Linked DNA regions of Rattus norvegicus. The protein of the gene in region 2 purifies or fractionates together with the protein of the main gene of each other region. This does not show direct contact. Links are inferred from orthologs where the notes say so. Each region holds a gene or a part of one and is shown on either strand. Other genes may lie near its edges.

Region 1 (3,814 bases), on a different chromosome or scaffold from region 2:
GAGTAAGGATGGTATAACAAAACTGACCAGGCACTGATACCTGCTTAGGATAGGTAATATAATTGTCTGTATTTGATATAAGCTTGCAATGTTTGACCTTTATAGACATTTGATATTTTCTTAAAATAGTATGCTGCATATCCTACAGAAGTGTAGAACAGGAATGACTGTAAAGCTAAAATCAACAGTCACCTAAAATGAGTAGATATGACAGTTGACACAACCTAGAGTTGTCTGGGAAGAATTTCAACAAAGAATTACCTGGATTTGGTTAGCTTGTAGGCGTGACTGTGAAAAATTTTGTTAGTTGGGTTATTTGAGGTGGAGGACCCACCATGTACATCACCCCTTCACAGGCTGAGCCTTGGACTGAATGAGAAGAACACAGATAATATACTAACATGTATGCAGTACTCCTGTCCTCTCTGCCCCTTAACTATGGATGCAATGTGACCTGTTTTAAGCTCCTGCCACTGTGACTTTTTGACAACAATGGACTGTGACCTGGAATAATTAATTAAATAAATTGTTTTCTTCTAAGCTGCTTTCTGGTCATGATATTTTATCAGAGGAACGGAATAGAATTAAAACAATATATATAGTTTTCCACTTTTACCCAATTTTTTAATTTTTTTACCTGAAAACAAAAAACACAGTGAGCAAGCAAGTGATATATCTTTTTCTATTGAAAAAATCTTCATATATTTTAATCATCTTCCCTTCCCCCATTCTCAAAGATCTTCCTCACCTTCTCATCCAACGACCTCTATATTCTCTCTTGCTCCCTCCCTCCCCTCTCAAACACACAAACAAGCAAAACATCAGTAAGTCAAAAAAACCCCAAACCAAACCAAAGAACATAAAAAAGCCCCCTTCTTCCCAAAGCCCATGGAGTTCGTGTTGGTCAATTACTTTGAGGCATGGGGCCTGCCCAGAGTGTAGCAGATGTATATAATGACCCTCCATAGGAGAAAACGAATTTTCCATTACCAGTAGGTATCAATTGCAAATACCTTCTTGGTTAGGAATGGAACCAAGTGTGCACTTGCCCCTCAGTGGTGGGGCTTCGCCATGGTTGTTTTATAAGGTTAAGAAAGGAGATGGGCATCCACAAGTTCAAACTCCTTGAAAAAAATTAACATTCACTTCAATCTCGTTCTGCATTTGATGGTGATAATACACTCAGCAGACTGTGTATCCTGCTGAAGAAAACCTGTCTATTCTCTACTGCACCTTTCACCAAAACCACGTGTACATAAAGCATCTTAACATGGTTTGACTTGCAGGATTTTTGTAATCATTCCTCCCCTTTTAAAGGGGGCATAGTGAGTGTGTGTGTGTGTGTGTGTGTGTGTGTGTGTGTGTGTGTGTGTGTGTGTGTGTATGTGTGTGTGTGTGTGAGAGAGAGAGAGAGAGAGAGAGAGGGTGGGGGAAAGAGAGAGAGAGAGAGAGAGAGAGAGAGAGAGAGAGAGAGAGAGAGAAAGTATTGTATATCTGTGGTTTTAAACTCATCTGCTTATCATGCTACCCTGATGCTGAGGTGGGAACCCTTTGGACTCCACAGCAGGCCAGAGCCAAGCACTCACCTGTGAAGTGAAATCATGCTGCTGCAGCTGCCTTCCTTCTCTCAGGTCCCAGGACCTCACAGTGTTGTCTAAACCGCCTGTCCAGAGCTTGGTGCCATCATTAGAAATGTCAATACAGCTGGCTCCGTCTGTGTGGCCCTGGAATTGCCTGATAAAACAAACCAGACTGAATAATGATTTCCTGCCAGAGCTCAAGGTAAACACTGTTGTGTTGTTAGTTTTGGACTCACTGTGTGTCATCTCAGTGTCTGTTGGTGTGCAGTATCAAAGTAACCTTCCCCTGAGGAGCACAGGAAACAGCCCCTGCAGGTTCTGTTTCTTTTTTCAACATTCACAGCCTAAAGAAATGGAATGGCTTGCAGGATGCTGCCAGAAGCCAGGTATCCTATGGTCTCTGATAAACAGACCCAGTGAAATTCTTCCCTGGTCTGGAAAAGAGTTTAAGTACTAAGAGACAATAAAGATAAACACACAAAAACCAATTTCCTTAAGGAAAGATAAAGAACAGTCCTTCAGTGGCCAAGACTTGAACCCACAGAAAGGAAAAGGCTTCTTCCAAGAACACATTCATTTAGAAGATAATCTACCAGTAGAGCCCTTCCTGCTAGCACAGCATGAACTTTGTGTACTCAGCCCTTCTGAATCATAAAGGGCCTTGCTTTAGAAAATGTGGACTCCCAGAGACCAAGTCAAGTAGCCTCTTGACCTCAGAGGTGTTAGGTAGAGACAAAGAAAAGTACTGAGGAGGTCAGACACTGGCCAGACCCCATCCCTGGTATAAGGCTTTCTTTACAGGTGACCTTCACACAACTTTCAAAGAGAATCCAAAATCAGTAGGTAGCAGGGATTTCTGACCCCTGGAAGGGCACGAGGCAACAAGTCAGATGGGCAGTGGAAAGAATATGACCAAGGTGGGGTCTGGGCTTGGCAGATGGGGTATGCAGTGACATTTATAAACCTGACTCTACATGCTGAGCATGCTTTGGCTAGGGCAGATCAGAGAGGTCAGGACCCACCTTCAGAAACAGGAAAGACCCAGAATAGAACTGGTTAGGAATTTCAATGCCAAAAAGGTCCTTTCTTTCTCTAGGCCCCATCATACCTTATTACCACAGAGTGCCAAGCTTAGAATTTAAAAGTACAAGAGAAAGAAAAATCACCCTGAATTCTTAGCCAAGATATGAACCAGGAGTCTTTCACAAGCATGATCCCTACGTCAATCCCTGTCCCTACTCGTCCTCTCCTTTCACATACCTTATTCCCTGCTATTGACTAGCAAGTACTCAACAGTACTAGTTGGCCTCTCCATGATCACCCTGGAATGAAGGGATCTTTGTGGTACCTTTCTTCCTTTTGTTTCTTCAAACAATTGTCACGACTTTTTTCTTTCATCCTGACTTCTTATAACCTTTTCAACTCAAAGAATTATTAATCCTTCATCCCAAACATCTTTCCTTGTGTACCATCAGCAATGGTGGAGGAGTTCCTCTAGCCTCCCCCTTCATGTACATCCTCATGTGACTGTCAAGTTGTTGACTTCTGAGAATATGCTGTGTCATAGGAAATACAGGATTGTCACACAGAGGAGACACTGGCCACGCATGGCCAGTCCAAGCTAAACCACATACAAGGCACCACCCCCAACCCCCCGCCCACACACATACACACATGACTATTGCTTACTCCAGGGAGCCAGCATGCAACAGAATGCCAGGTCTGTCTACAGGACCAGAGCAAAGTTACTTCTGTGCCTGGCTCTCATCTATAAAGTAGAGGATAGAGATACAGACAGTCTTGACTTAAAATCTCTGTTTCTATTTCCCAAAGACTAAGTTACAGGTTTTCACCCAACACTACATTTGACTTAAGTGCTTACTCTTAAAAACAGTTTCTGGAATGACTCTGGTATGAGCATTAAATGGAACAAGAGGAGTGGCTGAGGGAAGAGAGAGGATCTAGAAGCCGATCAGAGGCCTGTGTGCTCCCAGGTGGAATGATCCTCTTAGTTAGTTATGGAGAAATACAGATATTTTAAAGTTATTTTGTGGTTTCAATGCAATGGAAGCTTATTTTTAATGTTCTTTTGTTGTCTTGTGTCAGTAGATTTCGATTTGCACAAACAAGACTCTGGCCAACCTCAAATCATTTAGACTGGAGACCCCTGTATTGTCCACATTGTGTTGTCCCTTGACAAAGCCACATCTGCCATCTCAATGTGGATGAAAGAA
Region 2 (3,914 bases):
CCTTTTGCCTGGCCCCCTGGCGGGCCCAACGCTGACCCTGGACCCAAGCCCCTGCCGTTCTCCTCGAGGCCTGCACGGCCCTCATAGAAACTCCTGGTCTGTGCAAAGAGCAGCAGGCCTGAGCCCCCTCTTCCAGAGCCCAGCAGCTGACCTTGGGTAGGTGCTACAGCAGCAGAAAAGAAAGCAGAGAATTGACCTAAGATAGACAGATAGCTACTAACGGGCACATTTGCGAAGGAGAGAGTGAAAGAAAGAAATCAAGGCCGAAGAGACAGGAGAGCCCTGCTGCTGGGCACATGCTGGCTGATTCCCTTGCCTAGGGTCCAGCTTTCGAACCTACCCCTGGCCTGCTTGCTTTGCTCTCCTAAGGCCTGCCAGCTCCAGCGAGCAGTGGCTGCTCACCTTTCTAGCCTTTCTCTACATTCTACCCACGCGGGTTGACTCCCCATACCCGGGCGGGGCGCAAGGGATGGCGCTTTTCTTTTTTCTGTCTCCCCCCATATCTGTCTTTATGAAAATGGACTCTCCATAGAATAATATCCACAGTGTTTGTTTAAAACACGCAGCAAAGAATATTTCTCTGATTCATTTCCCTGGCTAAATCCAGTGCTGGCAGGACTAAGACGATAGATGCAGATCCAAGCCACTAGGCCTATCTTCCCGCCAGCTCAAAGCGCCCTTTCCCTACTCAATATTTCAATAGTAATTATATATCTTTCTTCTAGATAATAAAATAAAATATAAAAATGACCCCAGGGCTCAGAGTTCGTAAAATCAAAGGACAGAAACTAGAGCCTTCTGTGCGTGCCAATAGCTGTGACTTCCTTGGTGGCAAAGGCCAGCATTGCAGAATCGAGCACACTTTGGGTTGTGACTGGGACCCGCGGCAAGAGAAGTCAAACATGAAGTTGATAGAGCTTCAAACCTGGCTTGCTCTCCCCAGAGCGGGGGGGTTTGGAAATTCTAGGACATGGCCAGGGCCTGAACGCGTGTGTACATCCGGGCCCCTGTACTCACCAGAGGATGGACGGTCCGAGTAGCGTGTGCAGTAGACCCAGGCGGGCCAGACTAGGGGTTGCTGCGAGTCAGTCTTGACTACCGGCCCACCGTTAGCCGAACCCATGAGTAGGATCGCGGGGTTGTGTTCCGGGAACTTGGCACCCTGCGCCCCAGGACTTCCTGCGCTGCCTCCACTGCCACCGCCACTGTCCGAGGGCTTCGATGCTGCGGCCGCCGCCGCTGCCACTGCCGCTGCAGCCGCTGCCGCGGCTGCAGCCGCCGCAGCAGCCGGGTTCCCCGCTTTGGATGCGCCCGCGCCGACGGCGGTGGCGGGCTGGGAGCCGTCGGGTGGGCCACAGTTCGCATCTGGAGCACACAAGAGCGAGGCAGCGCCCGAAGCTCGTGTGCCCAGAGAGTGGACAGGGTCTCTACCTGCACCAGTCTGGCTTCGGTCACGCTCCACGCGGCTTCCACCTCCTGCTGCACCTCCTCCGGCTGCAGCCGAAGCCACTAGGAGCTGCGGCAGGGGCTGTTCCTTTTTGCAACCAAAATCGGGCCTTAGAATGTTATCGATGAAAAAGTTGGTGGTGCGGTGCAGCTGGGCCGCGGGCTGCGGCTGGTGAGCAGGCGCCGCGAGATGCTGCGGTGGCGGCGGCGGCGGCGGCGGTGGCGGCGGGGGCGGGGGATGCGGGGGGAGGTGCGGGTGATGGGCCAGGGGCGGCAGGCAGGGTGCCGCAGGAGGCGACGGGGGCGCTGGCTGCGGGGACACCGGCACGCTGTCTCCATCGCTGCCGCTGCTGCCGCTGGCTCCTGGGCTGAGACTCAGGCTGAGGCCGCCCGGGGCCGCCGCCGCCACCACCGCCGCCGCCGCTGCCACCGCGCCGAGGCCCGAGTCGCGCTGACTTTTAGGCTCCGGCTGCTGTTCTTCCATGCTCGGCCGCCCGGCAGCCCTGGCCGCGGCGCCGGCCCCCGCCCCCCGCGCCTCGCTCCCCACCCCACTTTGCCAGCGGGCCCGTGGGGGTGCGCGGAGAGGAAGGAGGCAAGGCGAAGCCTCAGCGAAGGCACAGGGCGGGTACAGAAGGAAAAAAGAAAGCCGAGCGTCTGGCCTGGCTCTCGCCCGCTCTGGTGGAGCAAATCTCGCTCTCTCCCTCTCTCTAATTTGTAGACATCCAGATACAGTGAAGACACTTGGCTATTTTTTCCTTTTCTTTTTCTTTTTTTCTTTCAGCAACCAGATTTCAGTGATTGGTCTTAATGGGGGAGTAAGCCTCGGCTTAAAAAAATAAAAGGAGGAAAAAAAGAAAAGAAAAAAATGATTTTTTTAAGCTCCGAGATTTTTTCCTTAAAGGGAAAAAATAGTCTTTAAAGTCTAGCCATCTTCCTAGGCTGTAAAGAGGGGTTTGACTTCCCCAGTGTCACGCTCAGCTGTGCCCAGAGCGCGAGGCTGGCAGCGCCTTTAATCGCCTTTGCTTTTTTGCAGGGAGAGCGCGTCTCCGCCAGTGCCGGGCTCCGTTTTCCCCCCTGAAATCTCTGACAGCTCGGATCTTTGCACAAACTCTCTCGCTTAAAAAAAAAAAAAAAATCACCCAGGCACACTTTTTGCCTTCAAACCGGAAGCACGTGAGTCAGGGCCGCACGTGTGTAGGACCAATGGCGAGCCGGGACTCGCGCTGACACTCAGGGCTCGGCCCAATGGGCGCGCGCGGGACTTTGCGGATAAATAATCCGGGGGCGGCGGCCGTGGGTGGAGAGGGGGTGCAGAGGCTCAGGCCCCGTACGTCCGGCCTGCCCTGCCCCCATCTGTGCCCACGCCCCTCCCCCTCCTTCAGATCCGGACTGAAGAGGGCACGAAGAGATCCGAAAAAGCTAGAATTTGGGATGTAGACAGATAAGAGAAGCAAGTCCACAACTTGTTGGAGAAATACAGGATTATGGGTTCGTGCGCGCTGGGGACAGCGACAGGCGGCAGGGATTTGGGATACCATACCCCACCCCACCCCCACCCCCCGCGCGCCAAAGACATTTAGCTTATATTCTTATATTCTCTCCCTCTCTCCCTCCCTCCCCTCTGTCTCTGTCTCTGTCTCTGTCTGTCTCTGTCTCTGTCTCTGTCTCTCCTCTCTGTTCGAGTGTGTGTGTGTGTGTGTGTGTGTGTGTGTGTGTGTGTGTGTGTGTGTAAATGAATGAAACCAAAGAGATCCGGCATGAGTGAAAGACTTAGGTTATGTCTGGCTACTTTCAGAGATGTAGTTTTTTTCCTACTAATGGCAAACCCAAGAGGCCTGCTACACCTTGATGGCACTGTTGGTTTATGTCAATGGCTAGCCACACTGTCGTTTGAGATCCGCAAACATGCCCTTCCCTCTCTGGATCACCAACACCCCAAGCTGCCGAGATGGGGGTCTGTGAAGCCATGTCCAGAGCTCTAGTGCCGGCCTGGCTAAGGGGAATCCGGGTTGTTCTAACCTGGTAGAGTTGTCTCAAAAGCGAGCCTAAACCAGGCGACATGATGTGCCACCTTTCAAGGCCTAGGTTTGGGTTTCAACTTCAGGGAAACCTCTGTGTTAGATTTCCCTGCAAAGTAGAAATTAAACCAATAAAACTACTGCGCTTCAAATATTTGCCTTGGCTGGCTGAAGGCTGGACAACGGGTTGCCCTAATTCTAAGCTGAACTCGCTGGTATTGCTGCCCACTCCCGGGTGCCTTGGGGTGGAACCCTGAGGATTCTCGCCTCCAGTCGCTCCCACGCTGCTATATTATGGGCATTTCCTCTTTTCCCCGAATGGAGTACCTCAAAAGTTTTTCATTACCAAGGTTAGGGAGGGAAGGGTGGTTCTGGGAGCTGGAGTGATTTCCTGGAGAGCTGTTTTAGAGAGGGTCAGGTACGAATAGATTGTAGAAGCCTTCAGTCCAA

The links.
Region 1: the proteins of En1 (region 2) and Tle1 purify together in Homo sapiens (affinity purification with western blotting; 4 studies listed by BioGRID and IntAct, with this or other methods). This does not show direct contact. The link is inferred for Rattus norvegicus from reciprocal best matches to the Homo sapiens genes EN1 and TLE1.

What each region holds. Positions count from the first base shown.
Region 1 is NC_086023.1:90,900,804-90,904,617, forward strand, and holds part of Tle1 (transducin-like enhancer protein 1), read right to left. Parts: intron 1,735-3,814; coding exon 1,587-1,734; intron 1-1,586. UniProt on the Homo sapiens protein: Transcriptional corepressor that binds to a number of transcription factors. Inhibits NF-kappa-B-regulated gene expression. Inhibits the transcriptional activation mediated by FOXA2, and by CTNNB1 and TCF family members in Wnt signaling.
Region 2 is NC_086031.1:34,302,353-34,306,266, reverse strand, and holds the start of En1 (homeobox protein engrailed-1), read right to left. Parts: upstream 2,584-3,914; 5' UTR 1,931-2,583; coding exon 1,018-1,930; intron 1-1,017. UniProt on the Homo sapiens protein: Required for proper formation of the apical ectodermal ridge and correct dorsal-ventral patterning in the limb.